4 linked regions of the Schizosaccharomyces pombe genome follow. The gene in region 4 interacts genetically with the main gene of each other region. Each region holds a gene or a part of one and is shown on either strand. Other genes may lie near its edges. The genes, in order: lem2, klp5, mto1 and alp14.

The links.
Region 1: of alp14 (region 4) and lem2, changing one enhances a phenotype caused by changing the other (phenotypic enhancement), as found in Schizosaccharomyces pombe (one study listed by BioGRID).
Region 2: mutations in alp14 (region 4) and klp5 are lethal when combined (synthetic lethality), as found in Schizosaccharomyces pombe (one study listed by BioGRID).
Region 3: of alp14 (region 4) and mto1, changing one enhances a phenotype caused by changing the other (phenotypic enhancement), as found in Schizosaccharomyces pombe (one study listed by BioGRID).

What each region holds. Positions count from the first base shown.
Region 1 is NC_003424.3:2,231,173-2,238,407, reverse strand, and holds lem2 (LEM domain nuclear inner membrane protein Heh1/Lem2), read right to left. Parts: upstream 4,131-7,235; 5' UTR 3,811-4,130; coding exon 1,744-3,810; 3' UTR 1,635-1,743; downstream 1-1,634. Other genes in the region: RNA polymerase I general transcription inititation factor subunit Rrn3, read left to right, coding at 1-1,412; protein Edc1, read left to right, coding at 4,321-5,259; rRNA (pseudouridine) methyltransferase Mra1, read left to right, coding at 6,996-7,235. UniProt on the Schizosaccharomyces pombe protein: Nucleus inner membrane protein involved in meiosis. Plays a role in regulating nuclear envelope (NE) morphology and nuclear integrity, particularly during spindle pole body (SPB) extrusion or insertion through the NE, and perhaps during karyokinesis.
Region 2 is NC_003423.3:1,708,581-1,716,192, forward strand, and holds klp5 (kinesin-8 family plus-end directed microtubule motor Klp5), read right to left. Parts: upstream 3,538-7,612; 5' UTR 3,342-3,537; coding exon 3,311-3,341; exon of another isoform or gene 3,255-3,310; coding exon 634-3,254; 3' UTR 501-633; downstream 1-500. Other genes in the region: IMP dehydrogenase Gua1, read left to right, coding at 1-301; cay1 (cactin), read left to right, coding at 4,523-4,648, 4,695-4,946, 5,002-5,094, 5,141-5,593, 5,677-6,306; cytochrome c oxidase subunit VII Cox7, read right to left, coding at 6,560-6,580, 6,631-6,723, 6,791-6,856. UniProt on the Schizosaccharomyces pombe protein: Has a role in establishing metaphase during mitosis. Required for chromosome segregation where it generates tension during kinetochore capturing.
Region 3 is NC_003421.2:1,678,406-1,686,620, forward strand, and holds mto1 (gamma tubulin complex linker Mto1), read right to left. Parts: upstream 4,867-8,215; coding exon 1,519-4,866; 3' UTR 1,356-1,518; downstream 1-1,355. Other genes in the region: mug27 (protein kinase Mug27/Slk1), read right to left, coding at 1-373, 423-1,031; tef3 (translation elongation factor eEF3), read left to right, coding at 7,261-8,215. UniProt on the Schizosaccharomyces pombe protein: Spindle pole body (SPB) component that acts as the gamma-tubulin complex-binding protein of the SPB outer plaque.
Region 4 is NC_003421.2:1,009,510-1,017,181, reverse strand, and holds alp14 (microtubule polymerase alp14), read right to left. Parts: upstream 5,740-7,672; 5' UTR 5,421-5,739; coding exon 2,991-5,420; 3' UTR 2,868-2,990; downstream 1-2,867. Other genes in the region: ATP-dependent RNA helicase Ucp12, read left to right, coding at 1-88; SPOM_SPCC895.08C (uncharacterized protein), read left to right, coding at 1,062-2,534; elongator complex subunit Elp2, read right to left, coding at 6,306-6,641, 6,684-7,672. UniProt on the Schizosaccharomyces pombe protein: Required for bipolar spindle formation and proper chromosome segregation. Has a role in connecting the kinetochores and the plus end of pole to chromosome microtubules. Also required for the activation of the spindle checkpoint pathway.

The sequences.
Region 1 (7,235 bases), on a different chromosome or scaffold from region 4:
AGTCCTTTGTGAGATGCTATACTCGATTTTTAGGAAATCTCATATCTGCACAATCTAATTACTTGCCGCTAGTTATGACTATGCTGATTCAGCATATGTTGTATCGGCCTGATAGTTTAGCAATCCATTATGAACATGCTCATATGGCTTTAAAATATGTGTTGGAACTTGTTCCCCGTGCGCATTCCTTCTTGTATAGTAGCATACTTGAGGAGTTTCCGTACAAGGACGAGAGCCTTTTAGCACAGATGACTTATATTTCGAACGTTTTAAGTATATGTGAATATGTACCATCAATTAAAGGTCCTGTATTGCATGCAATAATTGATAAAATTATCCAAATTGATGTGGAAATACAAGTAGAGGTTGATGATGATGATGAGGAGGAGGATGAAGTGGTAACAGATGATGATGGAACTAGCAATGCCGATTCTGAAGTTATTACAGCTTCAACGTTATATGAACGGCATACTGCTATTTCAAGTGAAATGACATCTAGCACAATATTGACTCCTCCCTCATTAACAGACACTCGTCAATTGATGCAGCAACTGGATCAGCTATTGTATACTTTATTTTCTTATTTAGATTCCAATTTAAAATCTACTAGTAGAGATCGTTACTTGGTTTATAATAGTTTGATTAAATCATTTGTGAACACGGTCCTTAAAACGTTCCGTTGTCGATATACTCAATTTTTGATATTTTGGGCTTCTCAGTTGGATCCCGAGTTTACTGATATTTTCCTTGGAGTGCTTACGGAAGTTTGTCTTGACCCATCACAACCTTATACTTTAAGATTAAGTGGTGCAATGTATATTGGGTCTTACGTTGCTAGAGCCAAAGCTTTAGAAAAAAATACAATTCAGATCATCGTTAATATGATGACTCGTTGGGTTGAAGCTTACTTAGATCAATGTGAAAACGAGCTGTCCGATGATTTACTATCTAAACACTCGGTTTTTTACGCAATTAATCAAAGTATTTTTTACATATTTTGCTTTCGTTGGCGTGAACTTTGTGTCTCTGATGAGTCTGAATCCATGGAGCCAAGACCTAACGAATGGATACCGGGCTTAGAGATACTTCATCGGTCCGTTCTTTCTCGGCTTAATCCATTGAGATACTGTTCCCCCAATATTGTACTTCAATTTGCAAAGGTTGCAAATCATCTCAATTTTATGTACGTCTATTCCATTATTGAGCAAAACAGAAAAGGAATTTTTAGAGAAGGGTTCGACACTATGGATGCCTATTTTCCCTTTGATCCTTACCGGCTTACGAAGTCTTCTATAATTGTTCAACCATTTTATAACGAATGGCAACAAATTCCAGGTTTGGATGATGACGAGGAAGAAGAAGACACAGACTACGAATCTTCAACCGTAATGTTGGGTGAATCTCCCTTTTGAATTCCTTTATTTTTTTTTAAATACCCTTTCTATGTGACATGTCCTATTTTTTCTCCGCTAATTTCTTACTCTAGACATGCCCATATTCAATCAAAAATGGTACTGGTTTTGGTTTTTATTTTAAAATAATTTATTTGGTATAACTAAGAATCACATTAATATAAGAAATACAGTTAAATTTCATCAACCTTGCAAACAAGTCCTCATTATACCAATTTTATGTTTCATTTTTAATATGTATAAGCATTCAGATAAATATATTATTAACTTACTTTTGTATTAGCTATGAAAAATGTCATAAATACAAAGCTAGAAATACAGTCGAGAATCATTATTCACGTAAAGGGGAAGTTGTATTAATAAATGAACGATCGGTTTGGAAATCCAAAGTATTTGTGCCGACCCACTCCCATACACGGGTCCATTCGCCGTCTACTTCTGATTCACGAGTTCTTACACTGCCAACTTGTTCAACACGTTCGACTATTGCTTCCCAAAGAGTTCGAGCAGTTGCTTTCGTCATATGAATTTGTTCCAATGGGCCATTTCCATGAAAGAGTATATCATGCATTTCGATTAGTGGTATAACGGGTTCTTGAGATCGAGACATTTGATAATTTGCTTTCTGTCTCTTCAAAGATTCTACACAGAATCGAGAAGCCGATGGTAGATACTTTGCTACGATACTGCGAGTACGAAAAAAATTGATGAGCTTAAAAATAACTCCTGACAACGCAAGGATTCCAAATAAAAAAACTTTGTTCCTCCAAACAAATTTTATCAGTTGCTGTTTTAAACGACACCGCAAAGGAATACCTGCCCAGCTATCGTAGCAAATTAATTTTGAATCCATGACAACTTCATTCGTTTCAGAAAGTACTGCCAAAGAAGCTTTAAATAAGTCCTCAAACATTTCAAGGCCAAGGGTTGGAGATTTTCTTTCAAGAAGCGTATCATGTAATAATCCTAACGCAAATGGTTTTGATGGGAAGGAGATATGATCAGATGATATATTAAGATTATCGGCGACATAAGGGTGCGCATTGTACGACATATTTCGTTCCAGCAAATCTGACGAGTTATTGCTACAATGCAAAATTGCATTCCAGGATCTTAATACACTTAAACATTCTTCACGAAAAATATTAACACTTTCTTCTCTAGAAGTATCACTAACGCAATACTTGGAGGGCCAAAATCCTAAACTTGAATACCATGGTTCGTAGAGGACATATCCGGGCTTGCATTCAACGTAATTTGGAGAGGGACATATTGCATTCGGAGGGCAAGTTCTACACAATGATGGAAAACTTATTCCAAGAATTGAAGCAGAACTTCCACTGGCACCCGAATCACAGAATCCTGCTGTAAACATTTTCTCCCGTAATAAAGCCAGAAAAATTGCTGCCACCACTCCTAATAAAATCATAAAAATATGCACTAAATAAGAAGAAGATATCGCGCTGATTCCAGGAAAGGCGCGCAAATTGTGAAGAAGACGATAATTGGCGTACTTAATGTCGTGAAATACTTTTTTAATAAACGACCAAAGTTTGCTTTCTTTTCGAGTCTGCTGCAAAACGTAATTTTGAAAAAGCTCGTCATCTTCCTCAGCAGAGTCTACTTCAGAATAAGGCGATGAAGATTCAGAGGGCCTTGCACTGTCAAGAGGAGCAAACTCGATATCTCGAGAGACTCGCTCAGGAACATTAGTAAAGGGTCGTTTATGTTGAAGAGGACTAGAAGTGGCTGAAGTTTGTAGACGATGTGATATTTTGGGAGACCTCAATTGTGGAGAAAAATTGTTTGAAGATGAAAGCAGCTTTAACCTCTCCGAAAATGCTGGCGAAGTATGTAAAGCAGAGCTATCCATAAATGACATAGGAACAGCTACCCTATGAGATTTATGCGAGCGAAATTTTGGTGTAGACGCGTGGGCTGGCGGAGTTTTCATAGTCAGCGATGTTTCCACATTAGGGCTCAATTCAGAATAGGACTGAAAGGTATTATTTTGAGAGACGTGCGGAGACTCTATTTTAACCGGGGTTTCAATGTTGCTAGGTTTGTCAATGAATTGTGGAGACAGAAGCGGTTCTGTTTCGTTGTGTGGCTTTTTCGTGCTTTTGGAAGGAGAGGAGGGATAAAGGTATTTAGGAGCTATTTCATCCTCGGAGCTAGACGCTTTTGAGGTGTTAGAGTTTTCCTCTTTTTGAAGATGAGACAATAAATGTTGTGGACCAGAGCTTAATTTGTTTTTCCGTATTCTATCCACCATCCTAATATACTCTATTTTTCTGGCATTCACAGGGAATGACACTCCCGATTCATGAAGGATCTTTTTCAAGTCTATGACACGAAGATTTCGCAATTCGAAGTTAGGGTCCTCCCAATTGTCCATGGTGAATAATTCAAACTGATCAAAAATGGTATAAAGCTGATATAAGCTAGTTAATTACATGAATCCTTATCTACATTAAAAAGGAAACCTGGCATAAGTTGCTGATTCGTGAACGTAATTGCAATCCCATACAAATTTATAATATTACAGCAATGAGCTATAATATACTTAGGAAATTGCTTGAATTCCACTGTTCAAACACACCTTTTCAAATTTAATAAAAGACTTCACTAAACGAAGGTAAAGCAATTTCTTATTTCTCTATCTTTGTGCCGAATCTTTGTTTTCCTTCTTTCTTTTTGCCAGTTAAAGTGGGTGGCAAATAATGGTTAAGGGAAGAAAGCTCTATAAGGAGGCATAGCGCAGCTCATTGCTTTGTGTCACCTCAGCCCAAATAACGTATATTGGGTAAGAGTGTTGCCCCCGAAGTTATCCTTAACCAACATCAATCACTAAGAATACAGAATCCATGATCATTAGGGATTACTCGAATTTTGACTATAGTAAAAAATGCAAAAAGACATTGGACGTAGATTTCAACGTAATAAGAAGAAAATTAATTCTAAACCGGGCGGAGCAATGGTTGCTTCCAGCGATGTCGAGTTCAGTTTAGATGGAATGTCGATTATGCCCCAACGAGATGGTAATCTCCAGATACCTAACTTTGTGAAACCCAAGAGTACTTTTGCTACTTCTAACATTGGTGAAAGCAATGGTAAGCGAAATGGCGATAAAGTACGCGGGAATCGACGCTCTAAATCTGGTCACAGTTCGTATGCTGGCTCTCGTATCTCAGGTGGCAATTCTAATTCCCACCTTCCTTCTGGTGTTGCTTCGGCTCCTGCTGGCTTAGGAATTGATAAGGTTGCCGTCGGAGAAGTTGATTCTCATTTGAAGTCTGTATCTTCTTACGTTTCCAATTCTTCCGGTGCTGATCGATCTTTTTCTTCGAATTCCTCTTCCGATACTAATTCCATTCTTTACGCCGGTCCTACATTTACTCATTCTCCGGCCGCTTCTAATCTTCCCATCCCTACGTTCTTACACTCTCCCGTTTCCGAAAAGGCTGAATGGCAACCTCCTACTGGTAGTGTGAACTCAAACATGCCTTTCCAGTTTCATCAATCTTCCTCTGTTCCTTCAACCCCATCCGAAGTTGCCATGGGTCATAATTTTTGTCCGATGTCTCGTAACGATCCCTCATTGCAGAGTATTCAACAGACGAATGGATTTTACAGTGGACACAATTCTCCTCATACTAACTATTCAGCTTCCACTCCTTCTTTTAATCACTTCAATGCTGCCGGCCATCCCACTGGTAACATTACCCCTACTTTGAATTCCCCTAATAACGGCATTCATTGTCATTCTACTTCTGCCCTAGACTTATTGTTTCATCGCGATCGTGAACAGCGCTTGTTCCGTATGCTGCGTCAAGGAAGTGCATAGTTTCATTGGATGCTTATTTATGTCTAAGGACATATCACCTTTTTAAGCCTCGTGTTCTGTTCTAACTATTCCACTTTTTTGTTTCACCTTCTTTCGTCTCCGCGTTTATCTACACGTGTTCGTTGTAGCACTATTTATTTGAACATTGGCCAAGAGAATTTATCATAGTCTAGTATTTTTGCTAGTATTATGACTTTCTTACTATCACCCTATGTACCTCTGTCTTTCTGTTTTTTTGGATTATAGAATTTAGCTCTCTATATGGGTTAATTTTGTTTCCTTCGCTTTTGGTTTTTAGAGGATTTCATACAAAAGCTACTGAATTCCTTTTCTAACGGCTTATAGTTAAAAGAAATGCCAACGTTTTTAATGGATTTCTTGGATTTGAAATCTTGATTTTTATTGACTAGATTTCCTTAACTTCATCTTATTCCTTGTTAGTTAATTGAGCGAGCAATTCATTTATAATATGGAAATGTTCGTCAATGACTATTTATCGAAAATGTGCCTCGTTTACTTTTCGATTTGTATGCTTAGAATGGGCATTTGTTACCTTTTTTATGAGCGTTGGGTGTTATGATCTGCATATTGCATTAATTTTATTCTGGCTAGTTTTTATTATGCTATTAATAATCTCGTTGTGCTTTTATCGAGATTTGTTTGAAACTTGTTTCACCGGTCTCGTACATTTTTTTCTCTTGTGTTTTTTTCTTTTAATTTTCCTAATTATTACTGACGTGTTGCCTATTGCTTTGCGATGACAGTACATCTTATTTTCCTGTGTCGAGGATTATAGTTATAATCTTCTTTTCCTCTCATGAACTTGGCTTTGGTTGCCAACCTTTTAAACTTTCGTCCATGATATACATGATGTTTGCTAATATAAGTGATATTTATGTGGTCACCTTTTTTGGCGAATGTTGTAACCTATCTTCTACGCTCAAGGAGTACATGCAATGTGCTTTATGCTTTTTTTTTTTTGAATGTTTGCAATTTTCAAGCCCTCGGTTTTTGAGCTTTCATTGCTAGTCAAGATAGTCAACTTATCGTTGATTATAATATCTTTCACTCGCAAATCGTTTTTACGTAAAGACTGAATTACGGCAACATTTATTGCTCTTATTTGTAAATAGTTTTGGAATCATTTCTTTTTAAAACTTTAAATTTATCTCTTTCCTTCATTGTTTACAAATAATGTTGCATTAAGTGGTGATTTAGTTTTTCTAATATAAACACATATTTCCGTCACTGATGTGTCGCGTTTGTGTATTTATCCACCTGATATGTGCAACAGTATTAGAAGGCACGGTTTTTCTGTGTGTTGACGATACCTGTTTACACATTCCTTTTAATCCACTTCCTTTACTTCTTTTCCGTTTTTTTTTTATTTTTATTTTTATTTTTTTTTTTTTTGCTGAAGATGGACTTATATTACCTGCATTTTTTTAGTTAATATAGAATTCATTGAAAACAAATTTTCGGCGTGTGTAGATTTTTTATAATTTTTTTGTTGATTTAGATAAGTCATTGTTTTGTTCAGCTCAATGCGCGAGTGATATGTTTGGTTTTACACTTGTTGGTTTAAGCGGATCGTAAGTTCGTAAATATGCGTTATCTTGTTTAAGCAAGGTAGGTTAGATCTGATAGTTATTTGTAGCTACCACCAAAAGCAAATTTCTCAAGCCATTATTTTTTGTCGAAACCCAATATCTGGTAGACTAGCTTTTTCATCATTCATGCCTACTTATTCCAAAAGGAAGTCTAGAGGCTCTTTAGAGGTTTCTGAGAAAACCAATCAACCCAAATTCATAAAGAGAAGTCAATCGAGTGAAACAATAACGTCAGGTGAAACTGCTAGTGAATTGATGCAAGATGAAAAGGAGCAGAGTAATGGTGCAGTAGGTTCTATTGAAGATGAAGAATTACAACGACTTCGTGAGAATCAAGCTTCTGTTGAAGCTCTTTCGAAAAAGCCA
Region 2 (7,612 bases), on a different chromosome or scaffold from region 4:
AATGGAAGGTACTGGTGTTAATAAGAATGCTTCTACTGGCCGCTATTTCTCTGAAAACGATGCTGTCCGTGTTGCCCAAGGTGTCTCTGGTTTGGTCGTCGACAAGGGCTCGCTTCTTCGCTTTTTACCTTATCTCTACACTGGTTTGCAACACGCTCTTCAAGATATTGGTACCAAATCTCTTGATGAGCTTCATGAAGCTGTCGACAAGCATGAAGTTCGCTTCGAGTTACGTTCGAGCGCTGCCATCCGTGAAGGTGATATCCAAGGTTTTGCTACATACGAAAAGCGTCTTTACTAGTCGTGTATAAGGATATTTAGGAAAAATTTAATTAAAGTTAATAAATTGCATTTATAGTACTTATTTTTTTTTCAAGTCAATTGTGTTTTGCTTAGGTAGAAAAAAACAAAATTATGTACATTGGAGGTGGCAGACATATATGTACGCTTGTATTTGATAGTGCATTACGAACGAATTGTGCAAGTTTACTAAGAGAATTTTAGGGTTTATAAATATATAATCTAATAAGTTATTAATTCATTAAAAATTCATATCATCAAGCTTATCCGTTTTTTTTTTTTAAATATACCCAACAGGATATTTAGAGGATTCGTATTTGAATATACGGACCTTTAGGTGGCTTTCTCTTCTTCGTTTTCAGCCATGCTTAAAGATTTCCTAATAATGTTAGCTGGATTTGAAAGATGAAGAGTAGTCAATGAACTGAGGCTTTGTCGAGTCTTCGGTTTAGAAAAATCAAAGTTGTGAATAGCTTCATTGTTGAGGATGAATGTTGGTGAGTCCATATTGGCTCTGGAAAAATTCAAATCAGGAACTTTTGGGACTGGACTACCATCCAGATCAATAGTGTCCAGATGAGGTAAAGAAACATCGTCAGTTGACGAGTCCTCGGCCAGCAGTTGATCAAGCTGTGTGGATTCACTATTAACTTCTTGCTTTTTCTCCAAAGGACTTTTTATCAAAAGTCCAGGTTCTGGTTTATCTTCCAACATCGGGGAGACAGGCGAAGTAAGATTAATTTCAACATCTATCTGATTCTTATTTTCAGGCCGTTTATGTGCAGGAGTTGAAGGCATATGCATAGTATTAAAGAAGTTCATGTTCTTTAACTTAGAGGTTTGAATGGGTGAGTTATACGCGGAGGCACCTGAGTCAGACGTAGACATTGAATCGTCGAAACGAACCCTCTTTTTTGGAGAACGTTTTGAAAATACAACTGGTTTTTTTGGAGACTTCACGAAAAACATTCGAGGCAAGTTATTATTAAGCAAGGGTTGAGTGGGAAAACTATGAACTCTATCACGATTGATAGTTCGTGAATCATCGGATGTTGAGTTGAGCTTATAACTTTCTGATAAGACAGATATATTAGGTTTCTCGCCAAGACCAATGCCCAACAACCACTTTTCCAGTATCGAGAATAGCTCTTGCATACCTCCCTCTTTTAGCAATGAACTAGCTTTGAAAGAACTTCTAAGAAGGGATTCTAAAACAGGAGTGAACTCATCAACTTTATTCTGAGCATCTAGAACCTGATTCTCAATAATTGATTTTAGCAAGTCAACTTCATCCTGTAACACATCAGCGTACATGGTAGCACCTTCTTGTTTGTATGTGTTGATAATGTGAGAAACACTTCTCTGAAACTTTTGGTATACAAGTTCAGGATCTATATCAGCAATGATCTCTGCACGACGAGTTAACAATGATTCTAACTTTGAACGAACTAAAAATACTCGTTCATCTGCGGAATTCGGAAGTATTCGCTCATAGCAGGATAACCAGTACTTAAGTACGCGAATTGAATCATCAAAATGTTTCACCTTTTCTACCTTATTAATAGTATCATTTTGCAGTGGTAAAGTCTCCTCAAATGTCATACGCAATAAATTTCTGGCTTCTGCAAGCTTCGATTCATGAGCAAAAGATTGAGTTACAGCGTCCTGATCAGAACCATTTGATTGCGATGACAAATCGATCTGTGCGAGACGATTCTCCAACTCTGAAATTTGCTCACGTAACTCAACGATTGCTTTTACATATTGGCTTACATGTCGATCTACACTGATCATGTTCCTTAACACTTCGGTTTTGATATTCTTTGCTCGATTAGCATATTTTAGAGTATTGTGAGTTTCTTCGTAATGAACAGAAGACGGAGATACGCAAACAATCATAACTGTCCGACAATTTCCGCCTAAACTAAACTTAAGTAAGCGAGTAAGTTTAGAATCACGATAGGGGACATGCGCACGGCGATGGGGATCACAAAGGGCATTGATACAATTTCCTAGGGCTAAAAGAGATTTATTAATATTAGCACCTTCAAAAAGACGACTACCTCTTAATTTGGTAGCTGTTGCACGTTCTGAGCCAGCCAAGTCAATAATTGATAAAGTGGCCAAAGTGTGGTCCTCATTGATGCCAGCTGTACGAGGTTTTTGGATCAACGTAACCTGCAATACAGCATGCGAACGAGATGAAGCAGCGTTAGCTTCTGTCGGAGACATAGTACGATTAGCATTTCCCTTCATGATAATATCAATGATTTCTTCCAAAGATTCTGGAGACAAAGAAGTAAGACCTGGTACAGTAATGCGACGGTCTGCATCTTCCCGTAAATTTAATGGCTTTGCTTGATTTGGGGTCGGTGATACTAATAAATCACGAATAGTTTCATTATAAATTTCCAAATAGGAAAGGCGAAGGTCAAAAATTTTTTCATCTCTTAAATGATCCATTCTCTCAAAAAGTTCTTTTAGTGTCAAATATATTAAACCAGGATCTTGCATTGTTCCACTAATGGTGTGAGTTTTACCACATCCAGTTGCTCCATATGCAAAGATAGTAGCATTGAATCCATCCAAAATATTGTCTAATAACGGCCTGGCAGTTCTCTCATACACCTGTTGCTGAGTAGCAGTTTCATCAAAAACCCTATCAAAAGCATAACGAAGATCACGGCCAAATCCCGCAGAATTGTTTGACTTTCTAGATAATCTAGCGAGACTCTGTTGAGAAGTAGAAAGTCTGCGGTTTGTGGCACTCAAAGTAGCCGTTGTTTCATCCGGGGGATCAAATACCAAGACACGTCCATCAAGTACCTTTACTACTCGTCGAATTTGACGTCCTGAACCAGGGTTCCTTAAGGAAGAAGATGTTCCAAATGATAAACGATCTGAGGATGCAATTAAATTTGCAGATTCAGCTGTACTAAATGGGCGAACACGGACTATTTTATGTTAGCAAAAAGATATGAATTTAAAAAACATCACATTAAAGACTAACCTGTAACGGTAATGGACGACTGTCTTGACATTGAAAAGCAAAATTTCCATGCAAGCAATCATCCAAAACAGATGAAAAGAAGGGCACTCGCAAACAACAATTCCAATAACCTTCTTGAATAAAAGCAATTTATATCGAAGATCACTATTAAAATAGATGTAACAGTAGAAAAGAGCGAGAAACGCGTTTTTTGAGTGCGCTTCAATGTTGACTGTTTGGCATTTGCCAAGTTACATTTCTTAGTCAAGTAACGCACTTTGTTTTGAATGGTTGTTATGGCAATAAAAGATGTAAACAATTACATTATTTACATATTTTGACAATAAACACAAATACAGGTAGTTACGATTAAAATCGAGTTGAAATACTGTTTTACCTTTTCATTTTCACTAGTTGTGTATAATGCTATCTCAGTATCATAGATGCTTTTACAGTATTTTTATTATTATAAAAGGCAACTAAATTCGATGATTGAACTGAATCGCTATCGTTTGGTTTGTAACTTATAATGTACACATGCCTGGCAAGATTCTTGCTTTGCTTTACTTTTATCACACTTTAATAAATCGTCCGACAAATTTAAATCATTTTCACCTATAATTGCAATAGAACATCAAATAAGTGTATATATTCTTCTAGCACTTCTATAAACACCACAACTGCTGCACTAGCTACTTTATTGCCAATTAACTGATGGCCTAAATATCTGATTAGTTTGAAAGCAGAGGACTAGTGAGCGCTATAAACAAAATTATATTCTATATTTTATATTGGGTATTCCTATATTCGTTAGGTACTAAATACTGAGTTTTACTTCACCTTTTAGTCGATATCGTTGAGACTTTTACCAATAGCAACTATAATGAATTAGGGGTTTTTCGTGCTATAACATTACCGCTCAATTTCTTTCAAACCACCAAGCGTCAAATTAGAACTACCTACTAAGCATTCGAATATGCAATAAAATTTCACCTTTGCCATAACCATAAATTTTACTATTGTTGGATAAGTCTTATTATTGCTAAGTAATTGATTACCTTAAGTTCATTTATCAAATAACAAAGCTCTACGTTTCAAATTTCAAAAAAAAAAACTTAACCTACTCATTGAGTTGTTTCAAATAAAAAAAAAGCAATTGGATTCTCTTCTGTTGGAAAGCACCCTTCATACAGCAATATTGGTATTTAAGGCATTGAATTTAAATATATTACTATGGCATTTCGTGATTCAACTCGCGATTTCAACAGAAGTAGACCTGAAAAAAGGCATGCTTCGAGATCTTCTTCACCTCGTTCATTTCGACCTTCAAATCAAAATGCAAGAGCAAATTATAATTTAGTAAGTAGGAAAATGTTAGTTGTTTTTGAATTAACCTTCCCTTTAGCCGAGAGTGAGAGATGCTATGAAAGAGGAAGAGCGAAGTAGGGAAACGAAAGAAATGCAAGAACGGGAATTTTTGCGTTTACAGCAGCTTCGAAGAGCTATTATTCGACTTAAGAATGATCGTTCTAAGCCTATAGATAAACTTCTTGTCAGCGTTTACTTGATGCCAGGCCCAGAATGGGAAGAGAATGGAGAAAAAAATTCAATTGATTTTGGAACAGTTGACATGTTTGATCCACTCTCTGTTATTCAAGTAAGGGACTTATTTTATTTTTACTTTATAACAGATTAATCATTAACATACTTAGAGTTATAAAGCAGAAGATTTGGAGGAGATATCTAGAAATATTGGTGATATTCAGCAGCTGGAAACGAACCAATGTAGACTAACTTATTGGAAGGTATGGATTATTTTTTATGCTTTAAGTGCTAAATTATACATTATAGTACGTTAAAATGCTAGTGAATTCTCGAATGGAACATAACAAAGTTGGGCAATTTTCAAGAGGGTTAAAGGTCGTAGCAGGTGAAGTACAAAGGATTTTAGCCCCTAAATCTTTTGAACAATTAGAACAGCTTGAGGCACAAATTCAAAAAAAATTGAAGAGCAATGTCCCTCTCGATACAGATTATTGGGTTGATTTACTAAACTCTTTAAAATCTTACAAGGCCATTGCTTATTTAAAAAAGACTTTTAATGAAGAATTACAAATTCGAAAAAATAAACTTGATAATGAAGAATGGGACAAAGCTTTTTCCGATGCCAAAAAACTGTCAAATATGAAGGATCGTGAAGAGAAGTTATATATTGTCCCTATAGACCCGAAGCCCATTTTGAGGGCTCAAGCGATACCACGCAGGATACAACCTGAAGAACAAGCCGATTATGAAAAAGAATTGGTAAGATATTTGTGTTTTTCATAATATTAACTCTCTTCCAAATTACGATTTCCATCTTTTGTCCTAACCAAAATCTTTTCTAGAATGATCATGTCAATATTGTAAAGTCTAGCACTTATATTCCAATATCGATACCTACCCAAAAACAAAAGCCAACTTTGCCGAAAAACAGTAATCTGATTAACGAGGATGAATTTTCAATTGCCAACAGGGCACGACTCGAAAGAGAATACTTACAATCCGATGATGCAGAGGAGCAAGAGATGCTTGGGGACTATGTAGAAGGGCAAACCCGTGTTGTTAACGAAAACGGGGTTACTTTGAAAAAGCCTCACTACTTTAATAGAGTTTTGCTTGGGTTTGAATGGAATTCTTATAATCAAGCACATTTCAATGAAGCCCACCCACCTCCCAAAGCAGTTCAAGGGTACCGTTTTAACGTTTTTTATCCAGATTTAATAGGTACAGGCCGTGCACCAACGTATCGAATAGAACGAACACGAAGGAAGAATAAAAGCGACACTACTGATTTACAAGACGATGTTTGCATTATACGTTTTATAGCTGGGGAACCATATCAGGATATTGCCTTCAGTATAGTAGATAAAGATTGGGATTACAGTGCAAAACGAGATCATGGGTTTAAAAGCAGTTTTGACAATGGTGTTTTATCCCTCCATTTTCGATTCAAAAAGCTTCATCATAGAAGGTAAAATAACTGATTTATCATGTTGTACATTTAATGAAATTTAAATTACTGTTACATGTGCAGCTAAACAACCTTAAAAGGCATCTACTAAACTACTTAAGTATTGCATAAATAAGTTTAATCGTAAAGAAACACGAAATCGATTAGTTCGTGATTGAAAAGCTAAACTAATTCAAGAAGAAGGGGGTGATAAATAGAAGGAAAAGGCATCATAGAAATTTGAAGTTCCCTGACATAAAAATATGCTTCGGATGTCCTCAAAAAGCATCTTTCTTCCCCTAATTTTGAAAGGTTAGAAAAAAATAGTATAAATCGAGTAATAACATACGAAAATGACTCTTCCAGAGGCATAAAGGGAATACAAACCAAGACCAGCCATAACAGCGTAGTAAGGATAAACAAGAGCAAAACTACCTGGTCTCTAAATATTAAACAATTAGGTTCTTTTTTCTCTTCATAATTAAAAACAAGTTTCGTTTAAAACTTACCTGCAAGTAAGTTGGTTTGTGGATGCTTTGGAGAAAGCGTTGTTGTTGAACAATAGTATTCTTCATTTTTTTCTTTTTTAATTAATAATTGTTTTAATAATTATAAAACGAACCAATAATCAAGTTAACAAGTTAAACTGTTAAAAAAATGAGGGTTAACGATAAAATGTAGGTAGGTGCGGAAAGGATTGATGGTTCCAATTAGTACATCTTGGTGCCAGAACACAGAGTCAACCTCATAAACTCACATATTTAAGTATATTAATAAGACGGTTAAGTGAAAGATATTCGTATTATTAAAAAAATGCTCCTTTATCGTTTTTGGTATGTATCATTTTAAATTAATCTTACTGAACGAGATTAACGCTAATAATATAAATTAATTGTTGTCAAATAATTTAAGGACGGAATCATTGTCAGATTGATTCTTCTTCAAAAACTAAAGCTATCTCCTTATAAGCTATTGGGGAATCTCTTTCAAACATGGTATAAATGCGTCCATGGCATACTCGGAGCAATAATAGTATAGCGATCAAAGTTAATAATGAAGATGCATTTGCTTGTACTTATATAAATTCTTATGGTTGTTGAGATAAGGGAACAATTTTATACTGAGTTACATATGTTCTATCCTTCATCAGTATTCTCTACAAACGCGAAAATTCCTTGTCCATTTAAGCAATTCGTATTACAAAGCTCTATGTTCATATTATACGAAGGACGTTGAAAGTTTTTAATTGATTCTGACAATGACTTACAGATAGAATATGATGGTTTGAGTTATTGAAAATGCTAAATCGTCTTTTCAAGTAATTGATGAAC
Region 3 (8,215 bases), 670 kb from region 4:
TAACCGCGCTCACTAGTGCATGTTGAAGTCGATTTACCTGATTCGATGTAACAATTGCAGTACTTAGCCCAAAGTCACTAAGCTTGATATGTCCCTTTTGATCAATTAAAAAGTTCTCGGGCTTTAAATCACGATGCATATAACCTAGTTTGTGGACTGCACTGATTGCAGCGACCATTTCTGCTAGGTAAAATCGGGTTTGATTTTCATGCAAAAGCCCCTTGGTAGTCAAAAAAGTTCGAAAATCTCCTCCAGGGACGTATTCCATTGCTAGATATACTTTTTCCTTATCTTGAAAGGCATAATACAGTTTTACAAGCCATTCGGAATTAGTATTCGTTAGTATATCTCTTTCATTCAATATGTGTTTCACCTGAGCCGTTGTTAGTTTTCTTTTAAGATCTTTAATAGTGTCTTCTTACTTCATTAAGTTGCTGTAATGTTGATTTTTTCATCATTTTCATTGCTAACAATTCGTGTGTGTTGCGCTTTTTAGCAAGCCACACAGAACCATATCCTCCTTGTCCAAGCTTTACTAATAAATCGAAATGGCTACATTGAATCTTGGTTCTTTTTTTTCTCAAAAATGCTCTTTCCCTTCCACAATGCTCTTTCCATAGTCGCTTCTGTTTAGATTGTTTTAATGACGATGTACACGCTGTAAATTCTTCCAATCTTTCCTTCCTTAGTTTATGGTACTCAATTGTGCTAATATAGTAATTGAGGAAGAAAACTTGACAGGCCATCCGCTTTCTTCTTGTCTCGGGTCGACTAAGTATTTCAACTTCACTGGGCTTTAGTAATTGGTAGTAAGTTAAACCTTTAGGATCATTTCTTTTCGTCCAGCAATTTTGTCTTTCTTCGTTGAGCACCATGCGTTCATTTTTCGAAGACACACTTGCTGACGCATTTTCCCTGTCTCGTAAATAGCCGCTTGATAGTAAAAATAAATCAGAAAATTCGACTCCATTTTCTTTTGCCTTTGATACTAGTTTGTTATTGTCTAATTCTTTAAGGCCCAGTAGGTCCATTCTATGTTTGTGGAATCGTTCTATAAAATTGTCCCAAGTGAATTGCTTTTTCCATGCAATGGATTCTTTCCTTTTTTTGCTCCTATTCAAGTTTATGTGAGCTCAATTTTGAAATTTATTTTGAGTACACGTTGTGCCTGAATAAAACTCGATTCTCCCAGCAAATGTAAACAAACACCGGGTTCTGGGAATTTTTACAAAGATGATACATGCGCAGTAAAATTTACTTAAAAAAGGTTAAATAAAAAATTATATTTCGAATTCTTTTGCGCGATTAAAATAAATTTTTTTTACGAATATGTGTGATTATTTCCTTTATAATCAGGGAGATACAAACACCAAAATGGTTAATCGAGAACAAAAAAAAATAAAAAATAAATATAAATCTTGGAATTAGCTTATTTTGTCAATTAAATTCTCCAACTAAGTAGATATGTACTGGTGATTAAGAAAAGCTATATACTTCAACCGCAAACTATCCAGATTATTATTTATGTTCTTGTGATGATATAGAAGGAGACCTAGAATTGCTTTCTTTATCCGTTTTTATTTGCCTTGAAAGACTCCTGTTTTGTCGAATCAAATCTTGAAGCCTTTCTCTGGCACCCAACTTGTCTCTTTTACGACCTTCTTGCTCAGCCTTGAGTTGAAACTCCATCTCTCTTAGTCTCAACTGCCATATATGGCTCATTCCTTCAGCATCTCGTTTCAAAGCTGTGATACCTCTTTGAACTGCTGACTTATCTGGAGAAGCGGGAACAAGCTTTTTATCCTCGGAATCCAAACTAACGCGTTTTGAAGCCCTTGGCGAATTTGGAATAGATGAAGTTGACCCAGCGCCTAAAAGTTTCACTCGTTCTTCCAACTGTGATAAACGCTTACTTCTAGCCTCAAGTACACCATCAAGCTTCCTGAGTTCGGTCTTAAATTCCCGCTCCATTGATTGACACTTCCGTTTGAATTCTTGAATGGATTTGTCCAACTCCCTAAAATTCATATTTACTGCCTGATTCATGCTTGAAATTGTCGTCAATGCTTCAACGTTGGTATTTACAGGCTTACTTCCCGTATTCAGTTGGGTAAAACGAGTGACAATGTTTTTTATGAGGGAATTTCTTTCTTCCACTTGCTCTTTAAGGCGTTTTTCAGATGCTTGTAAAAGTTTAAGTTCTCTAGATTGACTCCTTTCAGAAGGACTGGAAGATCCAGAGAGGTTTCTTCTGAAAGCTTGTGAAGACAAATTTTCCAACTCTAATTGGATTGCTTTTTTGGATCGTCTTTCCGCATCCAGTAAGTTCTTTAACTCCTTCTTTTCAGACACTAACGTCTCCAAAGAGTTTGTTTTTTCTTTTAAACTTTGCTCACAATGGTAGATTTTTTTCATCAACTTATCAGTACCAGACTGATCCTTTTTATTCTCATCTTTTAGTTTTCTTATCTGTTGTACCAAATGGTTAACCGAGCAGTGGGTGACCTGTTTATCAAATGTTTCCATAATAGCATTCTGCAAAGAATCGAAATTTTCGCGAAGGGTAACGTATTGATTATTTCTTTCCTCAATCTCACTTTTTAAAGAAGAGTTTGATGACAATATACCTTCAAATTCACGAAGTTTTTTATTTAATGAATCTAATTCGTCATTGTGCCTTTCCTTCAAGTTGCTAAGATAATCGGCTAACGATTCTTTACTCGTTGTAACGCTTTCCATTTCAGTTTTTAACTGACTAAGTTGATCATTTAACGACTCAATTTGCTCATTGAGTAAAAGTTTGTTATCGTTACTTTTCACCAGCTCGCTTTCTTTCAAAGCAATTACTTGCTTGTTTTCTTCATTTTCCTTCCTTAAAGAATCAACTTCTGCTTCTGTCATTTTCAACTGTTCAAGAAGATTTGATGTCTTTGAAGTTGAATCTTCCTTCGCTTTATTATTTTCTTCTTCCAAAGTTTGCAGCCGCTTTTGTAATTCGTCAAATTCATGGCATTTATCGTTATAACGTTCTGACAATTGGGTAATTTCATCAGTAAGCTTTTCAACCTCTTCTTTGAATAAAGAGATACTCTCCTCATTTTCCCGTATTGTTTTCTCGAATTTCTCAATTTCACGCTCTGCTTCAGTCCTAAGTTTACCTACTACTTCTTCGTAATCATCAGACTCTTTTGAAGACTTTGACAGCACCTCTTTGGTATCCTGGAGTTCTTGGGTAATCTCTTCGACATATTCCTGGAGTTGGTCAACATCTTCCCGCCATTGTTGCTCCATTCTCATCAATTTATTTTCATAATCCTCTTCAATATCTTGCAACTGTTTATATAAACGAGTAAGTTCAATTGATTGCTCTTGGGTTTTCATTCTAGATACCATCATAGAATCCCACAATTCATTCTTGCTTGATTCTGCCTCTACAATCGCATTCATCTTCCCTGAATTCAAAGCAACGGTAAGCTCCTCCACTTGTTTAACCAGGCGATCATTTTCCTGCTTGCGAAGTAGTAATGCTTCATTTTGCATAGATATGTCCATCCTCAACAGTTCATTACTACGCTGAAGTGTTTCAATAACACGCTCATCAGTATTTTTTGCAGGCATAGGAACTTTTTTGGATAACTGTACGCGAAGGGATTCCAACTCTTGCAATAGAGCTTCCTTTTCCCGCCGTTCGTTATCAAGCATATTTGACAGTACATTACGATCTTCATTGTATGCCCCAACAGAATAATTCGTCTTCTTTGATTTTTCTTTTCTCAAAGCCGCAAACGCTCTTTTGGTAGTTTCAAGCTCTGAAAGAGCCTGCGAATACCTCGATTGAAGAGTAATTAGGTTTGAAGGGGCCGGGCTGGGGGTGGAAAGGTTAAAAGACTGATCAGGCTTAATCCGGCTTTCTAATCCAGATATTTTTTTCTCATAGCCTGCAACGGCTCGTTGAAGCTCCATAGTAAGGGTCTTCAAATCGATGTTTTGCTTCATAATATCTTGAACCTCCTGATCGTGGAATTTATTTAATTGATCGTATAGAAAGTAGCATTTCAGTTTCAACCCAAACACTTCCTTTCTCAAATTATCAATCACGTTTGCTTGTTCCTTTAAAGTTAAGGAGGAGCCGGGCTGAGATTCCTCAAACTCTTTGGCAAGTGCATTTTTCCTGTCTTTTAGGTCTTTCATAGCAGACGCCGGTATCAATATATCGGAGATCTTTTTGCTTAAAGCATTGGTAGTGGGGGCATCTTGAGAATGTAAATAATTTCGTTCTTCTTTTATTGGGGTTAATTGCAAATCATCTTCATCATCCAAATGAGGTAACTGATCTAGAGAAGAAGAGATATAGTTCGGACTTGAAGGGTCCGAAGTATAATCGTAATTATTGTAACTATCTTCTTCATACTGCTCTTGGCTCTGAAACCCTTGATTAGCCGTAAGTACGGGAGAAAGCTGTTCATCATCAGTAGTAATGTTGTCATTGAGACGATCAAAATTCGTAGTATCCAAAAAAAAAGGTGCAACAGAACTATTTCCCTCCTCGTCCTCGCTATTCAATTTATTGACTGATTCATCGGGAGATTGAAGCGGAGTAGAGCTCGTTGGAGCAGTAGCATTTTGATGGAGACGAGGTGATCCAGAATCAGATTTTAAAGAATCTCTATCAATTTCAAAATCATACTTATGAGAAGCTTCTTCCGAATCTTCGTCTTTTGATGTAGAAGAGGGTAATTGCCGAGATCCTTCCTTTCTGGGTGATAAAATGCGACGAACTTCCTCGTCCGTCAGCGAAAGACCAGCTAAATTATCCACTAGAACATTAAAGTTATTACTATCTAACTCACTGGAATTTTCTTCCATAATTGATTAGAAAACGAACTTCGACATAAGCAAATCCAAAGCAGTAGGCATTGACTCTTGTAACAATTTCAAAGGAGCGATTTTTGAATAAGAAATTAATTCTTTCTTAAATTGTTAATTGTTAAAAGAAAGTATGGGATCGAAGATATGCCTATTGATACGCTATGGCATATATGTAGTGGCAGTAGTTCTCAATGGCTGTCTCTACTTGACGCATGTTAGACTAACGATCAACAAAGTAGTAGACTTGTAATTGCGGACTTTACAATTTTAGAAGGTTTAATGTTTGTGTTAGAAGCAGATATTTTCAAAAGAAGTTAATGAAATTAATTATACATTTGCACACACTCGTTTACATTATAAATAGCCATGTTATTTGGCATGCCTATGGCACATACACAAAACAATAGTACATACATTGATGATATGTAAAACGTAACTATGATTTTCATTAGATTAACTCTCCTCAAGTTAAGGTATGTTAACCTCATTTCACACTGTGAATCCTAAGTATATTAATTATTGATGGAATAAACGTTAAAAACACTAAAGTCCGCTACGATTATGCTTGAGTACATAGGTTTTCACGAACAAGCGTAAATTTGCTTTCCTACGTATAGTTGGTATGTAGCCTGAAATTATTTGTTTCAGTCTCTATTTTCACCGTGTTACATGATGCTACATTTCGATGATTTCAATCGCAACGGTAAATTGAACTATGAATATACGAACAAATATACTTTTCATTAAGAGAACATTTTTAATTTGCATAGTGTGTTCGAAACTTGAATTGAGTGAATGCGAAAATAAAGTCCTCTACAACTCATCAACTTGAGATATGTAGAGCAGCTGAAAAAAAATAATAATAAATAAATAAGTATATGTAAATTAATTTATCTAAGTAAATTAAGTTAATACTACTCAGTATTTTTTTTAATACAACAAAGAAAAGCATTCTTTCTATTAAGCGAAGGATTTTTTTTTTTTTTAAATCAATTACAATCATCACTTACTAGAATGAACCAACTAGTTGAAAACTTTCTTTTCTTTTCAATTTTTTTTTTTATTCAAGCTGATCATTGATCTGATATGTTTTCTTCAAACATTAATTCCATGAAATTGTTTAAAAAAATTTGCGAAAAAAAAAGTTGACAGGTATGTAAATATTACTAATATAGATTATTACAAAATAAAAGAGAAACTTGGCATCATCACTCGCTCTACATAATTTTTATTAAGTAAAAATGGTAATACATAAAAACTGCTTCAAACTCGTCAGTTACGTACTCTGCTAAATCGGTTAAGGTGTCAGCAATATTACATACGCTGCGATACACAACGCTGAATATCACTATATGCTACATATTCTAATTATACCATAGATGATACGATATTACGATTGTTCCTAATGAAATTATAATAAGTTCTATACTATCTGAATAATGCAAATGGAAGCACAATTGAAATGAAGAACGAGGATCAGTTATACGCTATATTAGTGATAGGTAAAAATATAACCTGTATAACAGAATAACTATACCCCAGTTGCGACCTTTATGACCCGCGTATTGCAATATGAATGATTATAAATATGTATTAAGATATTTGTAATAATGTAATACATTACTATGAATGCACTTAAATTAACTCGCGAATGAACTCATAAACGGAGTTCATTTGAGTTTACTTATAGAAATTCAATGAAGGATATATCTATATTCACCTTATATAAATGATGCGGGTATATAACGATCCAATATACAATCATTACAGTTCTGACTCTGAAAATATGATGTCCGACAGCAGCTATCTGAATGCGATTATGCCGACCCTATGCTAAATTCATTTAGTGCTACTGCATCATGTTATGCGACCAAAACCATATTATTGCCAGAGGTCATTTAGCCACGGAAAGCTTACAAGCAACATATGTTGAAAAGAAGAGTTACAGCGTCAAAAATCGTTCTTAACAACGCAGTGTGGTATTAGTTTAACGAGACATAAGGACCGCGTCGATTTGTTCATGGCATGCTTTATCTATAGTGATATCTTTAATATAGCCTTACATTTACAATGATATCGTCATACAAAGGACGCCGCCACTAAACACGTTATTTTATTTAGCGACTTCTAATTTTGCCGCTTAATAGTTTTTCCACGTCGCTAACCACTAAACACCGCCAAAGAAACCGTGGATTATGGCCACCACCAAGAAGAAAACCAAAGAAAAAGAACAGTCACATTGTAAATATGAGATTTAAATACATAAAAACATATTATTATTTTATTTTAAGTACTCCTTCTGTATTTTCTTAGTTGCAAAATTTTCATTAAGAAAATCCATTCATATACAACCAGGACCTCCGCTCATCTACCAACAACCATTTCCCCGGGATGTCTGCAAAGAGTGAGAATAAGCAGTCAGTCAAAGCTCTTGAAGAGTTGTTGAAGCACCTTACTGTCTGCGATGCCGCAGAGGAAGCTGATGCTGCCAAGGCTTTGGCTTCTTTTGTCAACGGACCCATCGAAGAGCAAGACGCGCCTTCTCAAGTTTTCTCTGCTATTTCCAAGCAGTTGAACGACAAGAACGCCACTGCTCGTGAGCGTGTCTTGAAGGGTCTTGAGGCCGTTGCCAACCATGGTAGTGTTGCCGCTGATGTCGAGCCTTACTTGGTCGAGTTGTTGCCCGCCGTCATCGCCAAGGTTGCTGACAAGCAAAACGCTGTCAGAGATGCTGCCATTGCTGCTTCTAAGGCTATTGTCCGTTGCACTACCCCTTATGCCGTCAAGGCCATCGTCCCCTCTGTTCTCGAGTCCATCCACACCACTGGTAAGTGGAATGAGAAGATGAACTCTTTGCAACTTTTGGATGTTCTCGTTGAGGTTGCTCCTTCCCAATTATCCTACTCCCTTCCTCAAATTATCCCTGTTGTTTCCGAGTCCATGTGGGATACCAAGGCTGAGGTTAAGAAGCAATCCAAGGAAACCATGACCAAGGTCTGTACTTTGATTGCCAACGCCGATATTGACCGTTTCATTCCTGAGCTTATCAACTGTATTGCTCACCCCGAGGAGGTCCCTGAGACTATTCACTCTTTGGGTGCCACTACTTTCGTTACTGAAGTCCAGGCCCCCACTTTGTCTATCATGGTCCCCTTGTTGGCCCGTGGTTTGAATGAGCGTTCCACTCCCATTAAGCGTAAGACTGCTGTCATTATTGACAACATGTCCAAGCTTGTCGAGGATCCTCAAGTCGTCGCTCCTTTCTTGCCCAAGCTTTTGCCTGGTTTGTACCACATCAAGGACACCATTGGTGACCCTGAATGTCGTTCCGTTGTTCAACGTGCCA
Region 4 (7,672 bases):
TGAGCGATTGGAATCTTCGTCGGGGTTAAACTACGAAAGTGAAATACATCAATGTATTCGTACTCTGATTGCAGGCAACGGTGTTTAGCTCCCCTTCTCTATTTCCTTGAAAGAGCATAAATGGTACAAATCACTTTTATTGTTCAAATGAGGCAGGTTATACCTAAAAAAAGATTATTATTTTGGAACAGTTTATGATCTTAATTTTTCAACTCAATACAGGACGGACACGATAAATTTTCTTTTAATATTTTATTGCCTTACTGACATTTAACATAAAAAAGGGATCATTTAACTCCGCGTCTACTTGCTTTAGGAGGTGCTGAATAAGATTGTTTATTTACCAACATAATTCATGTATTTGAAAATTATTTTTTTACTCAAACAACTGAAAAGCTAATACTTCCTTACCCGTTCACCTGTATTTACATTCCATTTTACGAGATGATAAATTTCATTAAAGTTAAGTGAAAACTTCGTTGTGCCTCAGTATCAGAAATATGGAGCTTAGCAACAGTAATTAGTATGTCTTTTGCACTCTCTGTAAGGATACGAAAAACTGTGTCGGCATTTCTTTGTAATGTATAATATAATGGAGGTAATATTACTTTGCTATCCTTAGTATGACTAGGGCTATAGAGTATACCATTATAAATATAATAATAACTTTTATCGACCTAATGGAAGAATGAGAGTTCATTTGGGCTTCATGCTTTTTATTAAGTTTTATTTTGGAATAAAGGATTAACTTGCATGTCATATTGTGAGTATCAGTCTCATGCCCAACGTTACTAAAGAGCACTCATTGTATAATGATAGCTAACGCCGCTCATATGGTGAATGATAACGATAGAACTAATTATACTGAAGCTTCGTTATTTCATTGTTATGACCCTCTCATTTAAATGACATATCTCGTACAACATCTCCTCCATTTAATTTACGAAAACTATAAATTGCCAAGTATTCTTTTCAATTCTTTGTTAAAGGATTGTAAGGTTAAGCTTGACGTTGAAATGTCTCTTTTTTGGTGCCCTTGATTGTCTCTGCCCTTAATTTACATGGACAATTCGAGAGACAAAATACATATTTTAGGAGCGGTTTCTGACACCTTTCAAGAAGTTCAGCATCCTTGTTCTATCCTTAAATACAAGGTGTACTTTGTGACAACTGATACATTTTATTGTAAATACCTTACTGCAAGCTTTACTGGTCTGAAAAAGTTTCCTACTGAGAGACAGTTACCGCTGGAGTGTCATTTCAATCATATCGACTGGGATCTTGGAAATAATTTCAAAGTAAAGGAAGGAGTTTTCTATACGTTTGATATCATTGCTCCACTTCCTAGGTGCACCCCACGAACGATTGTGACTCAAGAAGGTTCGATTTCTTACAAATTAACGGTTAAATTGTATACTGAAGATGATTGTCGTATGCCAAAGTCAGCCAATGTTCCTGTAGTTGTACCTTTTACTCTCAATCCCGATCGAATTCCTGAATCTCAGCACATACGTTATGGAGCGCCCCTAAACGATGCGTGTTTTACTTCGCTATCAATGAAGTCTTCAAAGTATTCATTTCTAACTGCGTTCTTTAAATATCCTCAACAGTGCTATAAAGGACCAGGCTGTGTTTGCCCACTTTTAATTGATTTGGAGTCCGAAGATGCAGATGTACTGTCATCTACCCCAGGTTCTGCTGGAACAGATGATCCCCATATAGATCCCATTGCTATTAACTCCCAAGATTCTCAATTTATCTTTCAAGATCGGTTACCACGTTTGAGTAATGATTGTGATATGAAAGGACGCTCTTCATTATCTCGTACCTCGTCTCCTGTAGTCGAAAAGAAGTTAAAACGCTATTATATACGAGTGCTTCTTGTCCAAAGCATTACCTTTTTTCTTTTTAATGATGCTTTTCGAAACTCCATTACTGTCCTTTTTGAGGATGGTAAGTGGTCTCCACCTATTGTTCCTGGCCTCCATTCAAGAGTTGAGTTCACAATTCCTGTGAACGACTTAATTCACGGAAGCTGTACAGAAAATCCACACCTCCTTGTGCGACATTCAATTTATGTATCAATTCACTCTCGTGAACCCTCCTCTTTATCCCGAAAACTCGCTCCCCCATTCCTTCGGACTCACAAAGCTAAATCTAATTCACTATTTTCTATGAAAAGACCCTCATCATCATCTTCTTCGCTTTCTGGAAGCTGGCATGGCGATACTGAAAACAGCGTAAAGCAATCTTTAGCCTCTCCTTCCGAAGCCTCCCTACCAAATTTATCTAAATACTCTCGAAAAAATGCGAAAAAACTAAATGAGTGGCTAGATTCCTTGGATTTTAAGCTTCCTATATATCTGTTTCATAGGAAATTAGAGTCGGAATTGTCCCATTTACCGCCTTATTCCCCTTATCGTGATTCTTATTTCTACCTGGAGGACGATGATGGTGATGCCGATACTCCTTCCACCGCTTCTTTGGACTACTTTAGCAACATCAGTCCTCCGGACTTTTTGAACAAAGCTTAGAACTTTTCATTGGGCAAAGACTCATGTGATTGTTACTCTTTTTTCGACTGTCTGTACTTTACGCATATCTTTATTTTTTTTCTTCTAACAATTTCTTTATTATGTTTAATTTTTTTAAAAAGAGGTTTTCGTTTATACTTGGTACGGCTATACAGTATACTTGTGATGCAAAATTAAACAGACTACTTTTTTTAATGACACTAATACGTTTAATGCGATAAATTCGTACGTTAAAATTCTTTTATTTATTTTATATGTTTGTTTGTGTTGTGTGTTTGAGTTACCATTTGACTCCATCTTTAACCTATAGTTAAATCTGATTTTAAGAAATTTGGTATAAACGAGAATACGTATTTTGTTATTATTTTTGTAAACCGATATTATCATTATTCTAAAACATTAAAAAATAGAAAGGGAAGTAAGGGACATTGGAATGTAAACGAAAGAATTTAAAAACTAGTGAATCAATCCCTGATGTCTTTGGTCTGTTTGTTTCATCTCAGTAATTTTTTGTTTTAGTTTGGCAGCTAAATCAATGGCTTTAGTCCAATCAGGATTGATATTATTGGCCCTTGACGAAAACGGTGATCTTGGTAATTCAGCATGAAACGTGAAATTACCATTTGTTTTCGCAGATGCTAAAGGGGATCTCTGATTCACATCTATAGAGCTATAAAGTTTAGGTCTAGTAGGTTCAAATTCCCTCACTGAACGTTGAAATGAGGGACTCGTAGAGAGCTCTAAAAAGTCAGTATTAGCTCTTCGCATAAATGCAGGTTTTCTGTCTCCTATTGGTGAGGCTTTCCTGGCACTGCGTAAGGTATTTAATTCACCTTTCAATTCACTGAGTTGTTTTTGCATAGAAATATTCTCTTCATGTTCAACTTTCAACTGCTCTCGTAACTCCTCGTTTTCTCTCTTCAGAGATTCTAAAGACGAAATGGTAGAGTCATTGTCTTCTAATACTTTAGGGTGTTCATAACGATCAACTCGTGAATGCTTAGCCGGTTGAGGAGCCGGATCGTCCAACTCCATGTTCTTCAAATTTTGCACCGTTTCGTTAAGTGCTCCCGAATTCAAAGGAGTGGAAGCTTTTACTTTTTGTTGCAAACTGGAAGATGTGCCTCGTGAAAGCCCTCGAGAAACTGGCCTCGTAGTCGGTCTTGGTAACAAAGGACCATTCTCAAATGCATTACCCTTTGATACATCCATGGAAAGCGATTTGTTAGTTGCCTTTCGTGGAGATGGTACAACTGGACTAGAAGGAACAACGGATTTCTTGACAGCCTTAGCATTTGAAGGTACGACGACTTTTGATTCTTCTTGTTTTGAAGGTTTAACTTTCGACTTTTTTGTAGGTGCCTTAGCCTTTACTGTAGCTGTTTCATAAAAAGAACGAATTTTAGATTTCCTGATGTCGTCCAACGGACTTAAATACTGATTAATGGCTCTTTCACCAACGAGTTTCATCAAAACACCCAAGGCTTCTGCTGCCGCACTACGCACCGGCTCAAAGGTATCAGAAACACCAGGAACGCATGCTTTAGCACAGGTATCAACTGTAAACTTAGATGGTAAGGATGTCATATTACTGAAAGATCTCGAGAACAAACTAAAGCAGGAGCTTTTGATTTGAGGATTTTTGTTCCCGGCAAAGCTAGCAATGAGCTCGGCTAAGTCATCCAAACTGGATGTAGCCAAAACAGCATCCATCGCAGAAGATAGTGATTCGATTACATTAGCCTTTTTCTCTTTGGATCGTTCCAACAGTGCATTAATAGATGTTGAGGCATACTTCGAAAAATTTGAGCGTAAACCTTTAGCCATCGCTTGTATACAGTGTGCAGCATTTATAACCACCATGATATTTGCGTCTTTTGAAACAGACTTTGTGAGAATAGCAACTAAATTAAAAAAATCGTTGTCTTTGATCTTTGGTTGAGATAAGACAGGAAGTAGTTTGTCTAACGCTTCCTTACGATCCTTCCATTTCGAAGAAGCCATTAAAGTTTCCAGGTTAGGATCCACATTGGGTAAAACGTCCACTTCTTCTACCAAATCAAATTGATCATCTGACGGTTCTGGTTCACTTTCTTCATTCTCGAGAGCAGGTTGCTCTTCTACCTGTGTTTCAACATTCGGCTCTGATGTAGGTTGCTGACTTTTCAAAAAACGAGTTTGTTTGGGAGGCTCTGTTGGTAGCTCAGCAAAAAGAGACTCAAGCTCTTTCGTCTGAACTGGTCTTAGATCTTTAAATAGTAAATCTTTTAAAGGATCCCCTGTCCACCGATAAATGTTTACAGTTAAACGAGATGCTTCCTTACGAACATTTTTATCAGCATGACCAAACAAGTTGGAGATATGTGGAATAATCATTTTTGAAGGAATAACTTTAGCACCAAACTGCTCAACTAGACTAGCAATGGCAGCGACATTAGAAGCTATTACCTTCGGGGATCGAGCCGATAAAGAAGGAATGATTGATTCTATAACTGGCGCAGCTGAATCTGCTTCAACTAATAGCATAAGAGCTTCTAGTGCATTTTCCCTTGTACCTGCGCGAGGTGATGTTAAGCATTTCTCTGAAATTGAAAGGACTGATATTTCACGAGCTTTAAGTAAATGAGAAGGATCGGAAAACCTGCAATAAGCTACAAACGCTGCGGTACCAGCTTCTTGAGCTGCTACGTTGCTATCAGTCAGCACTGATTTCCACAATTCACTCTGATTATTCCAAAGCTCAAAGCAATTATCCGAACCATCTGCTGAAAGTGAAAACGATTTGCTGCACTCTTCATAAGCAGATAGACGCACTTTCCATACTTTATGTACTATTCTTGATTCTAGAGGAAGTTTGGAGTAGTCTTCTTCTTGATCTTGGCTCATGTTCCTCCGGGGTGCCAAAAATTAAAGGAGCGTATAAGATAAATAAACAGCAAATGCTCTCCCAAAACTCCAATTCTAAAACTCAAAAGTTGTACTTAGTACCTTTTCTCCCTTTTTTGAATAAATAATAAGTAATTACTCGTTAAGCCTGTAGGCAAATACAACACTGTCAAACTTTACAGAATATCGATTTAGCAAGGCCGGAGTATATAAGTATTAACTCGTTGAGTCAACAAATTCAAACCTGAGAAAATATAGCCTTTAATAAAAAGTATCTTTATTAAGACTTAGGTTTGCAAAATAGATGTTTGGAGTTGGTAAGTGTTACTTTTGGACACTACCGAAAATGCAGTCATTCAGTTGAATATAAATTACTTCCTAGCTTGCTCCGTTCTTTCAATAAATGTAAACGAGTAATAGAAAGGGAAAAAAAATAAACTAAATTTCGTAGAAGTAATCAATGTTCTTAGTTAGATTTACAACTTGCATTCTATTACGCTTGAAAATACTTCTTAGTTAAAATCTTGCCTTATCTACCTTTTAAATATAATTTATTTTTAAAAAAAATTTTTATGTGTTGTTTTTTTCTCTAACATGTAAAATTGTGTTTGAGTTAATTGAGAAGACTACTACACCAAAGTTTTTGATACTAATAATTAAAAATACATATTTATATATATATATAACAACTAAAGTAATGAATCAATCTGATGAATGTCTACCATTCAGCACTAATTATGCCAACCTAACAACCCATTAACCTTCCTTTTATTTATCGACAATTATAACAATAAATAATTTATCTAAGCATTTTTAACCACCCCTCAGGTATGTTTAAAACAGGCCAACCCAATCTAACATTACCAATTGTACTTATTTTCAAGTTTATCCCAACGTAACGTTCAAAAGTCGTACACTGGTATCTTCGCCAGCAATTAAAAGAGAATACAACCCCATAGTTTCAAAAGTGGGCTTCCATAAAATTTGGTTAATTGACTCCATAGGAGCCATGTGGTCTGGTAAACGTGTTGGGTACCATTTGGTAAGATTCTCTCTCGGGCATCTCCAAATAAATATTTTACCAGCTTCAGTTCCTACCGCAAGCAAGAGTTCATCGTTGTGAAAGAACGGAGCAAAGTCAACAGCGGTAACAGCATCAGAAAATTGGAGAGCAGCAACATCACATATTTTTTTATTGTCATTGATTTTCCAAAATTTAACCTAAATAGTTAGCAAGATTTGATCAAATAAAAAATTACTCACGAATTTATCACGCGAAGCAGTCGCAAAAAAGTAACCCATTTCTTTGGGAGCCCAACTAGCATCCCAAATAATACGAGAATGCGCTTTTATAGAAGCAAAGTTATTATAATCCAATAAATTTTCGGCTTGCTCATGCAAACACACCAACCGATCCCGCCCAGCACTTAAAATGTATCGGTCATCAGGTGAAAACTTTATAGTTGTAACCGTCAAAGAATGACCTTTAAGGACTTGCTGCTGATTCCATGACTGCGTTTCGTATAACCGAATGACAGCATGTTCGGGGGTTTGTGATTTACAAGAAGTCGCGGCAATATTACCATTATTAGATATGGCGCATGCATAAACCTCATAACCATGGCCGAATAATTTTTCAACTTCCGGAAACAATAGCAAACGCTGTAAGTGTTCTTCAAAAGGAGGATGGTTCAAAGAACCAATCACATCAGCAACAGGAGTCTGAACTTCTTCTGCATTTACCGTACCAGTTTCAGATGCAGTGGTAGCTTTATTAGAAAGACCTAGTAAAGGAACATTTGCAGCATCAGGTAAGCTTTCCTCCCCAATATTGGTATCGCATAAACGGTAAAGAAGTCTAACAATTGTTTTAGGGAATTTAAAAACACGAGACACCTTTTCATCGGCACAGCTCAAAAATCCAATTCGAGAAGGCATACAGGATATAGAGGTTAAGTCATAGCCATGGATCTGAGGTCGAGCCATTTCATGCCAAGCATTATCCTTTTTAAAACGTGCAAACAATCTAGTAGTTTGATCTGTGCCGGCGGATAAATAGAATTTACCTTCAGGATCCCAAGCAACGCCTTTCACTGACTTTGTGTGACCAGAAATAGATGGAAGTTGGAGCCATTGCCCAGCATCTTGCTTCCAGAGTCTCCATCCACCAGTTCTTCCCCAGCATACTACACAATTACCATTTGGGTTCCACAAACCTCCCCAAAACCCTCCAGCACTACCAGTTGCTGTAG